Drosophila melanogaster: one gene and its partners. The protein of the gene in region 4 interacts with the protein of the main gene of each other region in a pairwise test. Each region holds a gene or a part of one and is shown on either strand. Other genes may lie near its edges.

Region 1 (4,093 bases), on a different chromosome or scaffold from region 4:
TTTTGGCAAGCGGAAATTTTCCTAGCCGCAGAAAAAGCGCTCAGAATGTCGGTAGCCCGACAGCAAAGAGAGCATAAACGCAGAGGAGAGAGAGTTTGGGCCCAAGAGGCAAGAGGCGGACGCAACAGGCCACCCCTAAAGAGACAACATTGGTGAGCGAGCAAGAAGGGTATATTCAAGGGTATGCTCGACCAGGGACTGCCAGCTGCTCAGTCGACCAAGTGGCCTTACCGCTATTCCCAATATAATTCCGAGTGAAATATAACCTTAATCTTACAATACTGCATATAAAAATTAATAAAGATATTATCAAATGGAAAAGATAGAGGCTCAAATTATCATTCGATATTTAAGTATAAGTAAAGTGTTTAGCAGGATCAAGATATGCTATTGTGCCAACATACCCTAACTCCCTTCGCGTAAGGGGATGCGAAAAGTTTATCCAAAAAGGAAGCTCCGAAGTTAACTGGCGCAAAGCTCCGTTGCTAGGCTGGCCGGCAATCGGATAGAACAGAAGGTTCAACGATCCATTACGATTATTAATTTTTGCATATAAATTTGCATTGTACAGAAGTATGTGTATATATGATTATATGGACACGTGATGTCAGTATGTGTGTGCGTGGTAAACAAAAAACCGATCATCAGCTGTTAGACGGCGCTTATCAGCTGGCAATACAGAAAAAAAGCAACGCGGAAAAGAGCCCACTGTCCAACTGTCCCACTTCCACCTAGAATTCCACTGTGCTGACCTTGACAACCTAATCTCCTCCACAGAAAACAGCTTCGTCTCGCTCGCACTGCCATTATGCAAGTGCGTGAGCATCTACTTTCCTTTTATCTTCCGCTCTCTCTTTCGCTCATCGTGAGTGACACGCGCAGAAACCGTGCAAGTAAAGCTCGCCGGCCTGCAGCTTTTGTCGCCGGAAAACGCACGAGAAAAGTTCTGAAAGTGAAAGTGCTTTTCCAGGCTTCAGTCAATATGTAATGAGTACTATGTGCCGTACTATTTAACCTTGAACTTGTGGATAAAGGACGTTAGCGCCGTTAACATTTTGAAGCTCGGGTCTGCAACAACAAATGCTTATCACTGAGACGCCGAAACAGCAACAAAATTTCAAATATAATTCAGACAATCCGGCACAGAGCAAATTTATGCAAAATTACTCATCATCGCTGAAAGCGTCGTCGTCACAGAGCAATTAAACAATTGCGATAGTGGAAGTTTACAGCGGTTCAAGATTATTATTGCTGCATTATTTCCGATGGCATGTTTAATAGGGTGTGATTGCGATGGTGTAGGTTATTTTACTTGTGGCGCGCTCCGCATGGAATGACTTCTATTTCACCTTTACACATTTCGCTAACGAGGTTCTTTTGAGATTGTATGGGTGTGCGAATTGAATTCGCAGCCGTGCTTGTGTGTATGTGTTTTGTGAGGCGGCAAACGCAATTCTACATAATGTGGAGAAATTGCTTGCATCATCAACAACAGCAAAAACAAATGTCTTGCCCCCGCCAATTTCGTTAGCAAAATTTCTAGCGTATTATAATGGAATGATGTTTAGCTTGAGGTCGTATCAAGAAGATCTGATAATTACCTGTTTTTGACAGTAAAGGTGAACTCGCGGAAAGATGTATTTGCTCTTCCTGTTTTGGAATTATTTTAATTCAATTTAAATGCACAGGCAGCGAACACTCCAATCAGAAACAGTGCGTCCGGCGATCTGTTCGAAAAAACAGTTGGCACCAATGAGCCTAAAAAAGCCACTCGTTTTTAAAATAAATACCATTTGGTATATACATACCAGATTCACGATATAACATTTGGGGTCTTCGGAAAGCTTTAAATTTTATTTAAAGCAATTTGTAATAAAGCCTAAAACATATGCTCCTTATTTATCCTCATTTATTCAGTTGCGTAAAGTATTATTTTTAATAGAACAAACTTATATTTTTAAAATTGGTTTGTGATTTTTGTTATTTTTTAGCTTCTTCTTAGCAGCGGTAGCCATTCGCCCGGAACCGTTTGTTTTTGTTTTGCTTTTCACGGTAAGCGTGTTGTTTTTCTCGATTTAATTGAATTTTAAATAACAAATTTTCGAGAATAGAAAAATGGCCACTGAGGTGTCGCAACTTTTGCTGGCGGTGGTCCAGGGCATCCCAGCCGGTGCCACCAACGATGACCTGACCAAGGCGCTGCCCGATGTGCCGGCGGCCACGCGGGTGGAAGCTTTGAATATACTGCTGCAGGAGGGCGGGATCGAGATCCTGAAGAAGGGTGAAAAGCTGGTGTACCGTGCCAAGGACCCGGAAAAGAAGAGTGCCCTGCCCAAGGATGCGGACAATGAGGAGAAGGTCGTCTACGGCATTGTTGAGGAGGGCGGCAACAAAGGCATCTGGATTAGGGATATACGTATGAAGTCCAACCTGAACATGATACAGCTCAACAAGATCCTCAAGAACCTAGAAACCAAGAAGCTCATCAAGGCGGTCAAGTCGGTGAACGTAGGTTCTATGATCCCATATTCCAAGTTCAATGTGATTCCAAATTTTCTTCGCGCAGGCCAGCAAAAAGAAAGTGTACATGCTGTACAACCTAGAGCCGGATCTCTCCATTACGGGAGGAGCCTGGTACCAGGATCAGGACTTTGAGGTGGAGTTTGTGGATGTGCTCAACCAGCAGTGCCTGCGCTTTCTGCAAATGAAACGCGACAGTGCGGAAAAGAAGCGCGAGGGGCCACTGGCCTTCAAGCAGATGTCTTGCTGCACGGTGAACGAGGTTCAGAAGTTCATCTCGGACTTGGGCATCAGCAAGGTTAATCTGGCGGAGGCCGATCTGGAAACAATTCTCAAAACAGTGGTGTACGACGGCAATGCGGAGCGAGTGCGCCAGCAGGATGGATCCTTCGTCTACCGGGCGGTGAACGCCCCACTTCCTCCGACTGGTCTGGTCCAGATGCCATGTGGCATTTGTCCCGTCATCAAAAACTGCTCCAATTGTGGCGATGTAACTGCTATAACTTGTGAATATATGCGAGATTGGTTGGATTAGGGATTAGCTCGAAAACTCTGGATTTTATTTTATATTAAGTATTACAAATTGAACTTATTGTTTATTAAGCTTTTTGTAGCACAAACATTATTAACTCTTAAATGTTATGGTTACCATAAAAAAAAGGAAAATTTGAAACCGATTTTTTAAATCGCAAACACATATCGTATTTCATCATTCATCGCTACGATATTCGCAGAATATGTCAGCTGGTTGCCAATCGCCCGGAACGCATGAACAGATACGTGGCTGTTGAATATGTGAATGAAAACTCGAAAATTCCGACAAAAGCTGCGAAACGAAATAAAATTTAATTTTATTGAGGCGTTATTATGCGATAGCTGTCCCAAGGCCGCCAAGTGCAATTCCTCCGCCGCCTTAGGAACCCCGAATTTAAGGAAATGGGTTTGTGCAAGTGCCCCAAGCGCCTGGTGACCAACCAGTTTTGCTTTGAGCATCGAGTCAATGTTTGCGAACACTGTATGGTTCAGTCTCATCCAAAGGTAAGGATTCCTGTCCTCTAGTTTTATGGATGCTTGGAATACACCATATCCACTCTTTTTCAGTGCATTGTGCAGTCGTATCTGCAGTGGCTGCGGGACAGCGACTACATCTCCAACTGCACTCTGTGCGGCACCACATTGGAGCAGGGCGATTGCGTGCGCCTCGTCTGCTACCGTAGGGATCTGCCAGTTTTGAGCTAATCCAGACACCACACACTTACCCATAATCCTGCCATTTCCAGATGTTTTCCACTGGGACTGCCTGAACGCCCGCCAAGCCGCACTGCCTGCCAACACAGCCCCTCGGGGTCACCAGTGCCCCGCCTGCAGTGTGGAGATCTTTCCCAACGCCAACCTGGTCTCCCCGGTGGCCGATGCTCTGAAGAGTTTCCTGTCGCAGGTTAACTGGGGCAGAAATGGCCTGGGACTCGCCCTGGTAAGCATTCCGGGCAGTAAGCTTGTAATCAATTTAAATGTTGAATCTTTCCCAGCTCTCTGAGGAGCAGAGCAGCAGTCTGAAGGCCATTAAGCCCAA
Region 2 (4,381 bases), on a different chromosome or scaffold from region 4:
GATTTCCCGAAATTTTGTTAAGACCACGATGGAGCCGAACCTTGTGGAAACAGTGTATCCGCCCACAATCTTGTCCTACTGGCCCACTATTATGACGAAAATGCCTATCTCCAGAAGGCCGGGAAACTACTGAATTTCTTTGCAGACGTATCGCCCTTCGGACACGCTCTGCCAGAGATGTTGTCCGCCCTGCTGATGCACGAGAACGGGCTGGATCTTGTGGCAGTGGTGGGACCGGATTCGCCAGACACCCAACGATTTGTGGAAATTTGTCGCAAGTTCTTTATTCCAAGCATGATCATAGTGCATGTGGATCCCTCGAATCCAGAGGAAGCCTCCAATCAGCGCTTGCAGACAAAGTTTAAGATGGTGGGCGGTAAAACTACGGTTTACATTTGTCACGAGCGAGCTTGTCGAATGCCAGTTACCGATCCGCAGCAGCTAGAGGATAACCTAATGGCGTATTTCTTCTCAAAACGTGATTAGATCCGGAAATTTACTCGAAATGTATTTTAAGAACTTCTAGATGTTAGTTAATTGTTATTGATTTGCTTCAAAAGCAAACAAAAAGGAGTTCTCGGAACTACATAGTGTTAAGATCCCGTTATTAAAGACCCCAATAGACTTGCGACTCCAGCTTATTTCACTGTTAAGTCTGAGAGACTGCATTGCTCCCTAAGTGTCTAGAGTTGGTTAAAGTTGTTGTACAAAGGCCCCTCTTCTTATTTTCATGGTATAGCTTATGTAGATTTTGAACTGCAAGGTTCTCTCCAGTTTAAAACCTATCATACCCATCCATTTGAACGAGAAAACGAGCCTGACAGTGACTAATAACCGAAATAACCTTATACATGTCCATATACAACGTTAATAAAGAAAACATACAATGTGTATTCGTTATGTAAATAATCGTTAAGGTTGGAGTAAAAAAAATCACTAATCACATCACACCATAAATGAAACCAACGTCGAGTAATCTCTCTTCTCGAATACAACACGTTTTGTGCATTTATTGGAATCGTTCTGTTCGTGGAGCTATCAACCATTCGGTGGTCGGCTGCACCTGCTCCGCCCCAGAGGCGTAGGCGTAAAACTAGGCTTTAAACTAAATGCGTGCCATGCGCTGCGTCCGCGATCCGCCACCAAACCCGATCAAATGCAGGAGTGGTGCTGGGATCTCGAAGGCCACGGCAATCGGCGTAGAAGGAAACTAAACGTATGGAGAGAACAGTTCGGTAATCGGTAATAATAATCGTAATAATAGTAGTTTGTAGTAATTAAAATAATTTAGTTGAAATTCACATTCATCACATTGGTTGGCCGACCATCTGCCATGCCTCATTCTCAACTGTTGCTGTCGTCGTCGTCCTCGTCGTGGCCTCCGCCTCTCAGGTGTCTGCATCATTGAAGCTCATTGCTGCATCGAAACTATCCACGATGGTTTCCATGCGCTCATGATGCTCAAATCGGGCGAACTTTCGCGCAAATTTCCGGCCGGATCGTGCGGTACTGTACCTCCTCGAGAAGCGCGCACGCCGAAAGAAACGGAAGCGCGTGTCCTCCTCCTCCTCGTCGTACTCCGGCGCAGACACGGAATCCTCGTCCGTTTCGCGCAGAAATTCCTTCGGATCCCGATGAATCTTAAAGATCTTGGTGGCCGTCGCCCCGTTTAACTTCGATATGGTGCGCGAGGCATTGAGTATTCCACTGGAATTCGAAATGGAATTGCTGCGGTTCTTAATAGCCGTCAGCCGGTTTGTGATGGACACCACGTTGAATAACTTTGACAGCTCCGAGTCGACGCAGCGCGATTCGCGACGCAGGTTCTTGCCATTCTTTACGTAGATGAAGTGGTTCAAGGGGCTCTGGCTCAAACTTTGGCTATCCAAGGGATGGCTTCCAGCGGAGCAGGTGGGCGAGATGGAGACGGATACGGAGTTGCTGCTGCCGCCGCACCCGCTGGTCAGCAGAGTGGGCGTGGAGGGCGGCGCTGGCGGTGGCACATGCGGCATTGTGTAGCAACGCTGGCGGCCCGAGCTCAATGAGGAACCCCCGCCCGCCGGCCCGTCGTACAGGTTGGTCACGTTGTAGCGGCTCAGGCGGCACAGCGACGTGGACTCCGGTTCCAGTTCCGCCTCCGGGTCGTGGCTGGTGGGCATGTCCATGGCCTGTGCATGTGTGTGCGTGGTTTTTGGCCAGGTTTTTCGAGTGGGTGGAGTGTGGCGAGCGGCGAGTGGAGAGCGAAGAGCAAAGTGGTGTCGTGTGTGGTGCGACGGGGCGAAAAGAAAGGGCGTTGCAGCAGCCACTGGATTAAACCTATTCATTTATCTGCGGACGCAGTGCATCCACTTACCTGCAGCAAGCCTTCGACCTCCATGTACTGGCTGTCGGTGGTGAGACGGTGTGTTTTGTGCATCAGTTGTTGATATCAGGTATATTGATTAGGAAATATATAAATAAAGACTGTCATCGATATTTGCTTCCACCTATCGGGCTGTTGTACTTCGATATCAGCAGGCTTTATTTATGTTAGACAATCGGGACCCACGGCACGTCGATAATTGGATACTTGGCGATATCGGTATTTCGGCGGCGCCACTTTCTTAACACATTTTTCAAACAAACTTTTTTCGAAAGCACACACAAAATACACGAGATATTGTTAGTTAATTTCAGACCGTTCCGTCCGACCTCGAAACTGCAACTGTATAAAATTAAAATTACTTTGACACAATGACTAATGATGTAGCATAATTTATTTAAATATCATCAAAAATGTAACAAGATGTAATCACACAACATCTGACTTCTGATTGGGATATTATTAGTAGAAAGTAAATCCAGTTAGATTTTAAGTCTGATTGTAGCCACTTGAAATTATTATACATAACGTCTAGAAGGGCTGAGACATTTAATTATATTGAAATAAAGAAACCAGTTTTAATATCATTTAATGTTGTATTTTTATATGGCATATTGTAATATTCATTTCATTCGGTGGAGCATTTATTAAATACGTGAGCTTTGTAGAGCTTGGCTAATTGCATTTTTTCTTATATTATATCAACTTTTGTTTAAAAAAATGATTCCCTGTAAAAATGTTGTCCCATCCACCCCATAAAATAAAAACAATTACGCAGTTTTCCGTTTCTGAGTTTAATGGTTGTTTTCTAGTTTCAGTCTTTAGTTTTACAGTTTTATATTTTTAGCAGTTCCACGCAACCACTTGTGGTCTTCCATAGGCCCCCACTCTGGGTTTCTGTGTGGGAATAGCGGGCCAAACTATTGCTGTGCTTGTGGCCAAGATTCCAGTTGATGGCGCACGGTGCAAGTCTGGTCAGCCGGGTCAGTTGGCTGGTCGCGCCTATGTCATCTGCACAAGCGGCCGGTTTTGCTTGGTGTGGGGGCGGGGAATGACTGTGCCGGCTGGAGGAGCACGGCAGTGACGCGTTCCAGCCCCTGACGTTTGTGTGTTTTGGGTTATATACTGGCGTGCCGAAGCCTGTCGCGAAATCGCTTGGGTCGAATGTTAAACAGCCCTAGGCCCGTGATCTCGAAGAGACAGTTTTGGCGTGCCAACCGCACGGATGGCGAATCGTTAGCCATCGTAGTGCTATGTGGGTTCGAATTGTTTTGACAAAAGTCAAAAAATTTGTTGGTTTTTTAAATCTCCGAAGAAATTTAGGTTTTGCCCGGCTCACGCCCACTGTAGCTCCACTCGCACGGGGGACATCGCGAAGGGTTGCGACACCGGAAACCGGAAGCAGCCGAAGCCGCTACCGGAAACGGGTGGCGCCCACCTTCAGGGCCGTCGAAATCCTCCTGCAAAAGGATCTAAGTGGGCATTCACCGGGCGGGGGGTTTTTTGCTAGCTTCACAAAGGACCAGGATCAGACGAAAAATCAGCAAATATATGGTTACAATAGCGATGATTGCCATGTCTCTCAACACAGTGATCATATCTTTTGATAGCCAAATAATCGCTTTTTCTCCGCTGACCGGCACAAAGTGGAGCCGGCGGTTGTGAGAATCAACGGTTGTGCGGGGCGGCTGGAGATCAGGCAACATCCATTTCAGACTCGCAATGTCAAAACATAAGATTCGAAGAAAATGGAGCTCCATGCCGAGGCACTTCACCCGCCATTTGGTTCGAATATCATATTCCTCCATTGCGAATAACCGATCTTACGGACGAAATGCCAGATCCTCAGCCGCCCCGCCCGATGATTCTCGAAATCTAGTTTCTAGTTGCAAATAAAGGTTCAATGTTGCAATAAAAATTATTGCTTTCCAAAAGCTGGCGTTCTGTGCCAAAGTAGCCGCAAGTCGGCGTGAAATTATATGAAAATAGAGCCGTTTTCGAGGCATTGCGAATAGCAAT
Region 3 (5,482 bases), on a different chromosome or scaffold from region 4:
GATGGGTTAGATTAAACATTTGACCGGTTGACAAACATATTGCCAGGGAAACGAAAACTAAGGGGGCCCGGAACCCGGGGCCCGTAGCCCGGAAAGCGTGGATAATCCTCATCAAAGACGCGAAATAGCCACCCATCAATGCACCAAAAATGTGAACAAATTAAATTGTCAACTTTTGTCGTCACTTTCTTCCTTGGTGACCTCTCAATTTGTTTGTTTGTTGTTGGGTTTCCTCGACACTAATGGACTTTGAATCACAATTGCCGATGTTAAAGGGATGGTTCATCCCCCGGGGTGGGATTTACAAGGGCGCAGAAGGCGGAATCCCTGCATATTTACATTACCAATGATACGATTCAGCAGTGGCAACCACCGACGAGCAAATAACCCTCACCATCCGTTTAAACATGCGGTTGTATCCCGAGTCCCATTACCCAAATTAAGTGAATCATTGGGATTGGCATTGTTTTGCTTTCGCCGGCGAAGAAGCCCCTCAAAATGTACGCCGCTGACAACTAAATAAACAAGTAGAAGTTCTCAGAGGGAGAATCTCGCTGGAGAGAATAGAGATTGCGATGCAGATGCCAGAGATTCGGATTCGGAATCTGATTCTGGTTAAGTGGAGTGTAGAGGAGCGGGGGTGTAGCACTCAATTGGTTTCACGCGGGGAATTAAAACGAGCGTGAAATTAGAGCCAAATGTTAAACACAGAGTGTGGGCGGCTGCTAGGAAGAACACAGTGATCAAAAGCTAAAGCCAGGCATTGATTGTTTTTTTGTGGTGACAAAGCGGCCTTAAAAAAATTACTTTAAATGTCTATAAAGTTATGCTTTAAACTTAGTCTTGCCCCCTTTTTTACACCTTCTTCGGCATTAAAAATTAGAAGCTTTAAACTCACCTCAACTCGTTCTTCTTTGAGATCCACCTTGAGGGCAAGTTGCTCCCGGAGCACCACATCTGGGTAGTGTGTTTTGTCGAAGGTGGCCTCCAGTTGCTCCAACTGCTCCTCCGTGAAGATGGTGCGATGGCGACGCTTCCTCTTCGGCGGAGGTCCATGACCCAGATGGCTGAGGTGGTGCTGTCCGTGGTGGTGTGCGCCCAGATGTGGATGGTGGGGGTGCCCATGGGGGTGGTGCGGATGGTGCCCGTGACCCGACAATCCAGCGGCTGCTCCACTCACATGTGCCTGCATCTGAGCAGCGGCCACATGCGCCACCGCAGCAGCGTGCATGTAGTTTGGATAGAAGTTGGGGTACGCCACTGTAGGGAAAACAAAAGGAAAATTCATTATTCCCTGGTTGGAATAACAGTCATATCATCATCATATAACTGGAGAAAAGAGGGCCACGGGAATGGGTGTAAGTGGAATATTCCTGGGTAAATCCTTAAAAATGCGCATAACGAACCGCGCAAAATAAAACTGCCGCCATTTTGGCTTACAGTAGACACAAAAATGGTATCAGTTCAAGTAAAATGTAAAACTATTTACCCTCTTCAGCATATGTTGTACTTGGAAAACATGTAAATATCGTTACGAAGAATATTACAATGATATATGGATAACATATTGCAAAAACGGATCTATTCCTTTGACCCCATCTGTAAACGTATGTGTGGCTTCCGTTTCCGGTTGCAGCAAGCTGGGGAAAAAAGTTGCGACCAGGTTTTTAATATTCATGTCCTGCGGGGGAGCCTTTGAATGAATTTAAGCGGTATTCTGCATAAATCTGCGCCTGAGATCCACGCTCGAATCAACACAAGGCCTGAGCCCATCTTAAAGCCACCCCAGCATCCCGGATTTCCCTGGTTTTTCCGGCCCAAGCTAAGACTTAGAGCCCAATGCAAATCCTCTCACCGCAAAATCGAAGGAAAATGGAGAGGAAATGCGGAATCATCTTTCACGGATCATTGCCTAATTATGAATAATGCCATTCAGGACTCGCTTCGGAATGGGTGTGGTTCGGTTGAGTGGGAGAGGATGAGGATGTCAGGATAAAAGTGGGTGAGTGGCTGAATGGGTGATTCCTGACTGCATGAGTGAGCTGCCTTAAGGTGATTTCAGAGTTTAGATGCATGAAATAAGGTATTTCAAAATGTTAAAATTTCTTTATCTAAAGAACCATCCTTTGAACTGGTTTCGTCTTAAGTTGTCTTCATAATGAAATTCAGCTGAGGGGGCTTGTGCGTTCAGTATAGGGGGATTGATAGACTTACCCAAAAAATCCGAGGGAGAGGCGGCAAAACCGCTCGCCGCTGCAGCCGCCAAGTGACCCAGATGCAGGCCAGGATGCTGCAGCATGGCAGGAACCCTCTGCGGTCGGATGGGACTGGCGGCTGCGCTAGAACTGGAGTTTGAATTTGGCGAGGCTGGGGACTCGGCGCCACTTCTTTTCAGACCCAAACTGATGCCATTCGAGGTGAGTCCATTTTGGTTGCCATTGCTGCTGATGTGGCTGCCTTGGCTTGGAGCGGTGCCTCCACCCTGTTGGCGAGAGCCCAAAATGCTGTCGATAGTGAAGAGAGACGCGGCGGCGGCTCCTCCTCTTCTCTCCTCTTCCAGAATGGTGACACCTGACTGGCTGCCATCATCGGAGGACGGAGTTTGACTTTGGGACTGCTGGTGTTGGGCGTGCTGCTGCTGGAGGACCGACTGCAATCGCTGGCCCAAGTAGCCGCATTGCTGCGAGTTCAGGAGCATGGCGGTGGTCAGGTGATAGGCGGCCGTGTTGCCAGGAGATCGCGAGATCTGCCTTGGAGGCTGCTGCTGCTCGCCGAGATCGCTGGGCGACCTTTTGAGGGTGTAACCCGCCGGCGGGGAATTTGTCTCTACCATTTGTGCCAGCATAGATCCAGCCGGAGGGGGCGTAGGCGGCGGGGAGGGGCTGGGCGTGCTCACGACGGTGATCTTGAACTTGGCCTTCGAGGGCGGAATGTCGGGCGTGGTGCTGGGAGTGGTGGTGGTGGTGCCTCCACCGCCTCCTCCAGGGGTCCACAGTGAGGAGAGAATCTTGAAGAAGTCTATGAAGCTTTCGAGTAGGAAAAAGTCTCTTCCCCACTGATTTTTTTTTAATGAAGCGGCACTTTTGAAGCACTAAGCGCTTTACAATTTTTTTTAATTCAGTAATGGTGGCAATGTTGCGAATATTAAGTCTAGGTTTTTTTCACTGGATTAGTGTGTTTTGATCGATGCCAAGTTCACTAAACCGCACTAGAAACACGCACTGCAATCGCGTCGTGATTTTATATTTTATTATTTCCACAGGTTTTCTGCCACCGGGAACCCTTCTTGTCCGCTCGAGCTGCGAAAGTGTTGTGAGAGCGTTCCGCCCGACAAGTTGTCGATTGAGTAGTCGTTAGGCCAGTTCCTCGACAGATATAGATACAGACTCTCAGATGCCAGATACAAACTCACATCTGCTCTCTCGTTTAGCGGACATTTTTCGACGTTGGCCAATGAAATCGGGGTGAAGCCACGCCCTCAACGCTACCATATTGCTTGGCAATACTCTCTGGCTTTGGACGCCTCTCCCTCTCTCTGTATCCTCCCTCCCTTTTTTGCTTTCCCTCTGTATCTCTTTCTCTCGCTCTAGCTGGTGGTGGTTGATGGTGTCGGGCCCCCATCTTGCAGTGTTCCAGGTTAAAGGCTGGCAGGAGGTCCAGGATAAAGATGGCGCTACAGAGATAATGCCCCATTCACCAGACCCCTCCTTTTCCACCCAATTCACACCAATGCTTCCATGTATTTTTTTGTATTTTTGCGCTCTCTACTTACTTTCTTTGGCCACTGACAGTTATTTATACAGATAAAGTCATCACTGACAGACCCCGCGGCCCCCACAGAAAGAGATAGCTGTCGAGGGAGCGATAGAGAAGGGAAGCGGGTGCGCAGGATATGGCAACAGAAGCTCTCTCGCTTTCACTCAGAGTGAGTAGCAGGGGTAGCATAAAAATGCTGATGGAAATTATGGGTGGCAAAAAGCCTGACGCTCTCTTCTCGCGTTCAGGGGATTCTGATACTCCACTGCCTCTGCTGGCGCCGTATCTTAAGAAGATAATGACTAAATTAATGCTTTTATGTTTCTGGCAACACATAAACATCATTATGCGCTCAATCCGCCCACGGAGAAGCGCTGCTCTTGCTCTTTCTCCCTTTCTGAGCTTTATCTTTATCATCATTCTTGCAGACGTTGGGAGCTTGAAAAGGGTTAAGGGGTGAACGTTTTATGTAGAAAGAAGCACGCTACTACTCGTACATAAAGATGAAGCTTACACTGGAGGGAGACTGGGAGCGCTCATTCAATAATCTACGGCACTTTGGTGACCCTCGTCGCTATTGTTTCACCTCGTGTGTGTGCATAGGAAAATATTTTAATCTAAAGTTTCCACATCAAACATGCCCAAGTGCAAAATCCCCAATGGCCGCCAGGGTTCGTTCCCTAGATATGCCCCCCCTCCTCGTCCACTCGAATGCAGGAAAACAAAAGCTAAGCTACGACTAATGATAAATGCAACTCTGCAAACCACACCCACAATCACAAATGGAAATCCAGCCAGGAAAAGCAAATGAACCGAAAAGTCCTTACAATGTCACCTATGTGGGGGTGAAAAATGGGGATCACTTGGAGAAATAATTCCCAAGTAAGGTCCATCTTTACATACTAACTAAACTTAATTCTGCTAGGAGAATCATGGAAGACGAGGCGTTCCTGATAAATTATCAATCAACACTGACTACTAAATTGGGTGGTTTCGAAATATCTTTAAATAATAAGAAAGTATTTAAAGGGCACCCAAATCGCTCTGTGTACTAAGATGGACAAAGAGGAGGGGTCCAGGGAGGGAGGCTTACATAAATGCAGATGTTTTAGTGTGTGTTGGGGGTATATGTGTTCAACTGATTACGGGGGCGCACGGAAGAAGAGGGGCGGTCCTGTCACATGCCGTAAAAGGATGAAAGGATGACGGCTGATGACGTCGCATGTGGCCAAATGCTTTTAGAAATTATTGAATAATTAAGCAGGCCAAGGACCGCAGGACCAGGATATTTCTGGTCCTCTTTCCCCTCCGATTCTTAGTGGATCCTGCCGCCCAGTTTTCTCTGGGCTTCGCTATTTGCCTTTACACTGAACTTCTTACATGGCCAACAACTCCCGACGGGAAAACCGATGATGACGATGTTGTAAATGTAAAGGAAATATTGAGTTGAGAATGGAAAAAGAGGAGGAAGCTCTGGGAGTGCGCTTCTCGCTAAGCTCAAAAGATGTGACGCACTTTTTTCTATTATTTTCCTCACAGAATTTGTTCAACTTGTTTTTTCACATGAAACTTTTTGTTGCCTTTTCTACCTACTCTGACCTCTGACCTGAATTCTTTCCCCACTTGCTGTGCACTTTTTGTTTTAGTTCGCAGATTGAATTTTAAATAAAAAATTAAATTAACTTGTCTAAGTATTGTATTTGGCTGAGTACCACTACCCCTTCGA
Region 4 (5,977 bases):
CGATCGGAGAAACCCATTGGACTGGAGGTCAAGGAGAAGATCAGCAACTTTTGTCATGTGGGGCCGGATCAGGTGATATGCATCCACGATTTGAACTCCATTTATCATGTTCCGCTGCTGATGGAGCAGAATGGTGTTATTGAATACCTAAATGAGCGCCTACAGCTTAATATCGACATGAGCAAGAGGACCAAGTAAGTTAAGGTCTATATTTAAACCCTGAAAGTAAGTTAATCACAAATTGTTTGTTATTTTTAGATGCTTGCAGCAATGGCGAGATTTGGCGCGTCGAACGGAGACCGTTCGCCGTGAAGTTTGCATCGCCGTCGTGGGAAAGTACACCAAGTTCACGGATTCGTACGCCTCCGTAGTTAAAGCCCTGCAACATGCCGCCCTGGCAGTGAATCGCAAACTGGAACTGGTCTTTATCGAGTCGTGCCTGCTGGAGGAGGAAACTTTGCATTCTGAGCCGAGCAAGTACCACAAGGAGTGGCAGAAGCTATGCGATAGCCATGGCATCCTAGTCCCCGGTGGATTCGGTTCCCGTGGAATGGAGGGCAAGATTCGTGCATGCCAATGGGCGCGAGAGAATCAAAAGCCATTGCTTGGCATCTGCTTGGGTCTGCAAGCGGCGGTCATTGAATTCGCACGAAATAAACTTGGTCTCAAGGATGCAAACACCACAGAAATCGATCCGAACACAGCTAATGCCTTGGTCATCGATATGCCAGAGCATCACACGGGTCAATTGGGCGGCACTATGCGCTTGGGCAAGCGAATAACTGTTTTCTCTGATGGTCCTAGTGTCATTCGCCAGTTGTATGGCAATCCGAAAAGCGTGCAGGAGCGTCATCGGCATCGTTACGAGGTTAATCCCAAATACGTGCATCTGCTGGAAGAGCAAGGCATGCGATTTGTGGGCACCGACGTCGACAAAACTAGGATGGAAATCATTGAGCTCAGCGGTCATCCCTACTTTGTTGCCACCCAATATCATCCAGAGTACTTGTCGCGGCCTCTGAAGCCGTCGCCTCCTTTCCTCGGCCTGATCCTGGCCTCAGTGGATCGATTGAACCAATATATTCAGCGCGGTTGCCGCCTGTCGCCCCGCCAGCTATCCGACGCATCCTCGGATGAGGAGGACAGTGTTGTGGGCTTGGCCGGAGCAACAAAATCGCTGAGCTCCTTGAAAATTCCCATTACACCCACAAATGGAATATCAAAAAGTTGCAATGGTAGCATAAGCACTTCCGACAGCGAAGGTGCCTGCGGAGGCGTTGATCCTACCAATGGCCATAAGTAAACTAGTGAACGGTATCTTATATCCTAAAGTGTTTAACATCCGATTATCAGACGTACTTTTGTTATCGCAAAACCCCAAAAGTTTGGGATAACTTAAGTATTACTGGGTGGGTATAATACGGTATTTGCGAATTGAAAATTTTGACCTTTTATGAAAGAGGCATTAATAATAAGAAACCCTTTATAATTTCTCCTAAGCTTAAGTAAACTACGATGTTACTTTCCGTACATTTTTAATTTATATGAAAATCTTAATTCATATATATTTTTTGGATGCGAAAAAAAAAATAACTAATGGAACAATTTCAAATGTTTGTGTTTTATTTTGAACTTAGCGGGCAGCAAGAACGGTATTGGAAATAGTGCGTGGAAAGTAAATGTGTGCTATTTCTCTCTTTTCAAATTGGGCGCGAAATTTCGAAATTGGAATTGAAACATGCTAAATAAGCTTATTTGTTTCCGAATTTATGGAAAAATCGCTTTTCAAGATATCCATACCAATTGTTATGATTTTGTTCACACATAAACTATTGGAATACTTTGAAAACAATTGTTGCTTCTATTTTTAACGACAGTTCCATCAATACTTTTTGGCAACTGATACCTTATTAAAAAACTGACTGTTTTTTCTAAATTCTTACAAATATATTAAGGGATTATGTATAATCCCTTTTCTGCCAAGAACTATATTTTTAAAGAGCACCACAGAGTGGACTTCAGTGTAATTTTCTGCTTGTTGACGCAATTAGTTGAGATAGGCAGAGAATTAATCAAACGCTGGTACTCGAGAATAATAATGGACGCTAGCCCATGCGAATTGAGATTCGTATGCGGGATGCGGATTCAGATACCGGCTGGCGTTGTCAGACATCGTCAGGCCCGTGCCCAACAAAAATAGCCAGGGCATACATTTGGGCTTGCGGCCGCGATGAGAAGCGATGGCTAGCGGCCAATTGAATCGAGGCGGACCGCAAGACTCCCAACCAAGAACAATGCGCATTCTTCATTGTTCGTTCAATTGAGCAACGTGCTCTGGCTAATTTTGCACTCGAAATAAGAGAAACGCAGCTAACATGATTCAGTCGGGGGTCCACAAAAAGAAGCCAAGGATTCGGAATCGCCAGCGCAACAAGATCAACCAGGTGCCACAGGATCAAGGGGAATCTCCAGACGCAATTGCGTCTTCACTCAAAAGTAATGGCTCAAAAGCGGCAAATGGTGTAGAAAGTAAACCTCCGGTGGAAAAGCCCTTACTTACAAGTGGAAATTCTCTGCTTGAATCATTATCAAAAATTGGTCAAGTGGAAAATCCGCAAGAGAACGATACAATCCGGCTGATACAGCAACTGTTACGTAGGAAATTATTGGCCAAAAATAGTGCTGTGCCATCCAGCGAAAATAAGCCATCAACTGATCCGGTCAAAATAGTTACCCAACCAAAGGAAATCAAAAGTGAAGAAAAGAAACCAAAGATTTCGAGTACCTCGGTTACTCCAAAACTCAAAACAGAAGCCAAGGCATCTGGAATTTCAAAAGAAGAGGAAATAAATGATCTACTCAAATGCTTGGGCAGCAAACTGCCAAAGGGTAATTAGATAATCATTAGGAAGTATATACAATTCAACATAACTAAAATATGCTTGATAGGATCTGGTGAATCCCCAGCAGCCGCGTTATTCAGCAATCTTGGAAAGCTTTTCAGCCAAGCGCCGCCCAGCGATGTCGAGTCATCCGATGAGGAAGTGGAGGAGTATGTGGAGTACATCTATAAGCCAAGGCAATATTTTATGGCCTCACTGTGCAATGTAGGTAGTATTCATTACAAACTGTGCTTAATTGCTGAAGGGACTATAGTTTAAAACTTCTACATTTGTATACCCTACACTCCTAAAGGAAAAGGGCATAATAGATTCGTTGAAAAGTATGTAACAGGTAAAATGGTTTCTTGCCAGTTTCTATCGATATGCTCATTAATGGTGGCATTCCCGCTAGATGAGTAATGGGTATCTGATAGTCGAGGAAGTTGGCTATAGCGTACTCTCCTATTTCTATATACAAATGTAAAGGGCGCATTAATAAGATTTTTTTACAATTTTATTTTACTAAGCCTTTTATAATACTTGCAGTTCTGCAAGTCGGATCTGTGCGGCCAGAATCGGATACCCTGCTCCCGCTGTGGACTGAGCTACTACTGCAGCAGTGGGCACATGAAAGACGACCAGGAGCACCGCCAGCTGTGCTACGCCCTGCGCCAGACGGTGGACCGCAATGGTGAGTGTCTTTCGGCGATTCACAAATTCATAAATCACACTAATTGCCAATTTTGGATGGGGCGGATGCAGGTCACGAGATGTTCTACAAGTGCGGCGACTTCAGTGACGAACAGTTCCGTTCCTTCCGGATCGTGTGCATTCGCCAGGTGGAGAAGGAGATGAATCGTCAGCTCAGCGCAACGGAGAGAGAGTTGCTCCTATTTCCACTGATCTGCGCCGACTCAAAGTGCCGGGAGCATCGCTTTAAACGTCTATCCATGTGCGGTGGATGTGGCGAGGTGGCTTTCTGCAAGGATAAGCCGGAGCACCGAGGCAAGGAGCACGCCAAGTGGTGTGGAGCCTATCAGATTTTCAAGGCCTTCATCATGTTTCAGGAACAGTTCGGCCGCATGGAGCCATCACTGCCCAGTAAGATTCTTAGAGAGCTGCCCATGGCTTGCTCCAACACCAAGCAGATGATGAAGAAGCTAAGCTTTAGTAAGTAAACACGAAGTATTCAAGGATTTTATTATAATGTATTATTATACTGATTTAAAGATGTTACCAATGAGTGTGAGTACGCAGCACTTACCCAGGTGTCCACTGGCCCATTAACTGCCTGGTTTGCCTTGAAACTTTGCGAGCGCCTCAGAAACTGCGAGGAGATGACTCTTCACTTAATTGGAGCCGAGATCGAATTTGAGGCGGATATGCTGCAGAAATGGGAACTCTTCCTGCTCCACATAACGCCAGCGGTGAAAACTCTGAATGTGGTCTTTGTTGGACCTGAACTTAATCCTAATAATATATCCTTTGAACAGCTAAAGAAAATCAAGTGAGTTACACTTTTAGTTAGTAGTTTAAACATTAGTCTAAAGATTATCAATCTATTTAGATGCTGCCGTTTCTGCAGAAAAGCCCAGAGAACGGTTAACTATCATTTTGAGAATAGTTTATATCACGATTACTGCAGAGAATCGCACTTTCTTCAGCCGAATTTGAGTAAGTTAACACTCATTTAAGCGAAACTAATAATAATTATTATACATAAATTCATAGTTTGCTTCTTTAACTGCGGTCTGTACCGATCAACTGGTTTCGCTCTGGAGGATACTTGGCCAGATACCATTCAAGCTGCACTCAATCTCAACTGCCCCATCGTAGTTACTTCCTATACAAAATACGAGGCCCCTTTGGATATGATTCAATTTATTAACCAATCGAATCGACACTTAAATGTCGTAATGCCGCCAACTGTAAATCCGTTTTCCTCGGAAAAGCCAGAACGTAATTTTATATCAGATAATGAAGCGTCTTTTATGTTTAAGAACTTTTACTGTTTTGTTGTTGATTAATCGCAGTCCACACCTTAGTTTTTTTTTAATAAAAAGACAAATATCGAACAATTCTGATTTGGACAAGGTCAATTATTTAGTAAAGCCTGGTACAATTCTAAAAGTTTAAAAAATTTGTATTATAATTTGGTTTTTTAGACATAGCCATAGACACATGAACAATAATAAAATTATTATATTGAAATATTCGGTAACTTCTTTTCGGTTGCAGTACATACCTGGTAAAATCTATGAATTTTCATAAAAAATATAAAATTTTGTTCAGCTTTTATATTTTATTTTGAATGTAACGTTTTTTCTGGGCAATCGATGTTATTTTTCATACTGATTTCGATACATTTGCGTTCGATAATAAAATACTAAAACAAATTTTCGATTGATTTCCTTGCTGAGGTGTGATGGTCACTTTCGATAACCGATATATTTAAGGAAATATCGGTTGAAGTCCGGTTTTGTTTTGATTTGATTGAATAGCATTGTTTTCATTGCGCATTTTCTGAAATTTAGGGCATTTAGGAGAAAACTTGTGATTTTTTTGCTGTTATTAGTGTTTTCCCATGAATATCAACGATGGTGACTTTAAAGACCTCCGCTGCAAACTGGACATCATGGGTTTCACACAGACGCTGCCCGTTTTGGCCATTCCACTGGTTCAGGTAATATTCATACCCTGTAATATTAATTTTTTGGCATAATCCTGTACCTTTTACATTGCAGGCTGTTTTCGGGGACCTAATCAAGACCACAGAATGTTTGAGGGATACCAAGAAAAAGGTGGCCGAGCTGCTGGAGGTGGGTATACCAGTAGAGAGTACAAGACCTTTGGGTTTTCTCGATTATATATGTGTAACTATAATATTATCACAATTTCTTACTGAAGAGATTCAGGTTGGTGCTGTTAAGATAAAAAAGAATTTGTCAATCTAAATATGATTATAATTGTGAGGATCCCATGAGAAACTTCTTTTCAGTATTCTTATTCTATATACGCCAAATATGCTTCATTTTTAAGGGCAGACTATACAATTCAATTGAATCCCTAAAATTAAGCGTGAAATACTTGCAAGG

The links.
Region 1: the proteins of CG13458 (region 4) and Polr3F interact in a two-hybrid assay, tested with the Drosophila melanogaster proteins (one large-scale study listed by BioGRID).
Region 2: the proteins of CG13458 (region 4) and CG8617 interact in a two-hybrid assay, tested with the Drosophila melanogaster proteins (one large-scale study listed by BioGRID).
Region 3: the proteins of CG13458 (region 4) and Gsc interact in a two-hybrid assay, tested with the Drosophila melanogaster proteins (one large-scale study listed by BioGRID).

Annotation. Positions count from the first base shown.
Region 1 is NT_033777.3:22,365,177-22,369,269, reverse strand, and holds Polr3F (RNA polymerase III subunit F), read left to right. Parts: upstream 1-1,896; 5' UTR 1,897-1,916; intron 1,917-1,991; 5' UTR 1,992-2,052; intron 2,053-2,110; exon of another isoform or gene 2,111-2,111; 5' UTR 2,112-2,115; coding exon 2,116-2,508; intron 2,509-2,566; coding exon 2,567-3,055; 3' UTR 3,056-3,190; downstream 3,191-4,093. Other genes in the region: CG5382 (uncharacterized protein), read left to right, coding at 3,457-3,558, 3,622-3,733, 3,801-3,994, 4,050-4,093. UniProt on the Drosophila melanogaster protein: DNA-dependent RNA polymerase catalyzes the transcription of DNA into RNA using the four ribonucleoside triphosphates as substrates. Specific peripheric component of RNA polymerase III which synthesizes small RNAs, such as 5S rRNA and tRNAs.
Region 2 is NT_033778.4:14,354,783-14,359,163, forward strand, and holds CG8617 (uncharacterized protein), read right to left. Parts: upstream 2,500-4,381; 5' UTR 2,417-2,499; coding exon 2,354-2,416; intron 2,169-2,353; coding exon 1,389-2,168; 3' UTR 987-1,388; downstream 1-986. Other genes in the region: CG8613 (uncharacterized protein), read left to right, coding at 23-486.
Region 3 is NT_033779.5:591,374-596,855, forward strand, and holds the start of Gsc (goosecoid), read right to left. Parts: upstream 3,313-5,482; 5' UTR 3,008-3,312; coding exon of another isoform or gene 2,834-3,007; coding exon 2,215-2,833; intron 1,261-2,214; coding exon 899-1,260; intron 1-898.
Region 4 is NT_037436.4:15,111,395-15,117,371, forward strand, and holds CG13458 (uncharacterized protein), read left to right. Parts: upstream 1-2,162; 5' UTR 2,163-2,375; coding exon 2,376-2,889; intron 2,890-2,949; coding exon 2,950-3,107; intron 3,108-3,428; coding exon 3,429-3,573; intron 3,574-3,644; coding exon 3,645-4,052; intron 4,053-4,112; coding exon 4,113-4,389; intron 4,390-4,449; coding exon 4,450-4,556; intron 4,557-4,613; coding exon 4,614-4,909; 3' UTR 4,910-4,979; downstream 4,980-5,977. Other genes in the region: Ctps (CTP synthase), read left to right, coding at 1-194, 259-1,303; Cep135 (centrosomal protein 135kDa), read left to right, coding at 5,467-5,565, 5,627-5,701.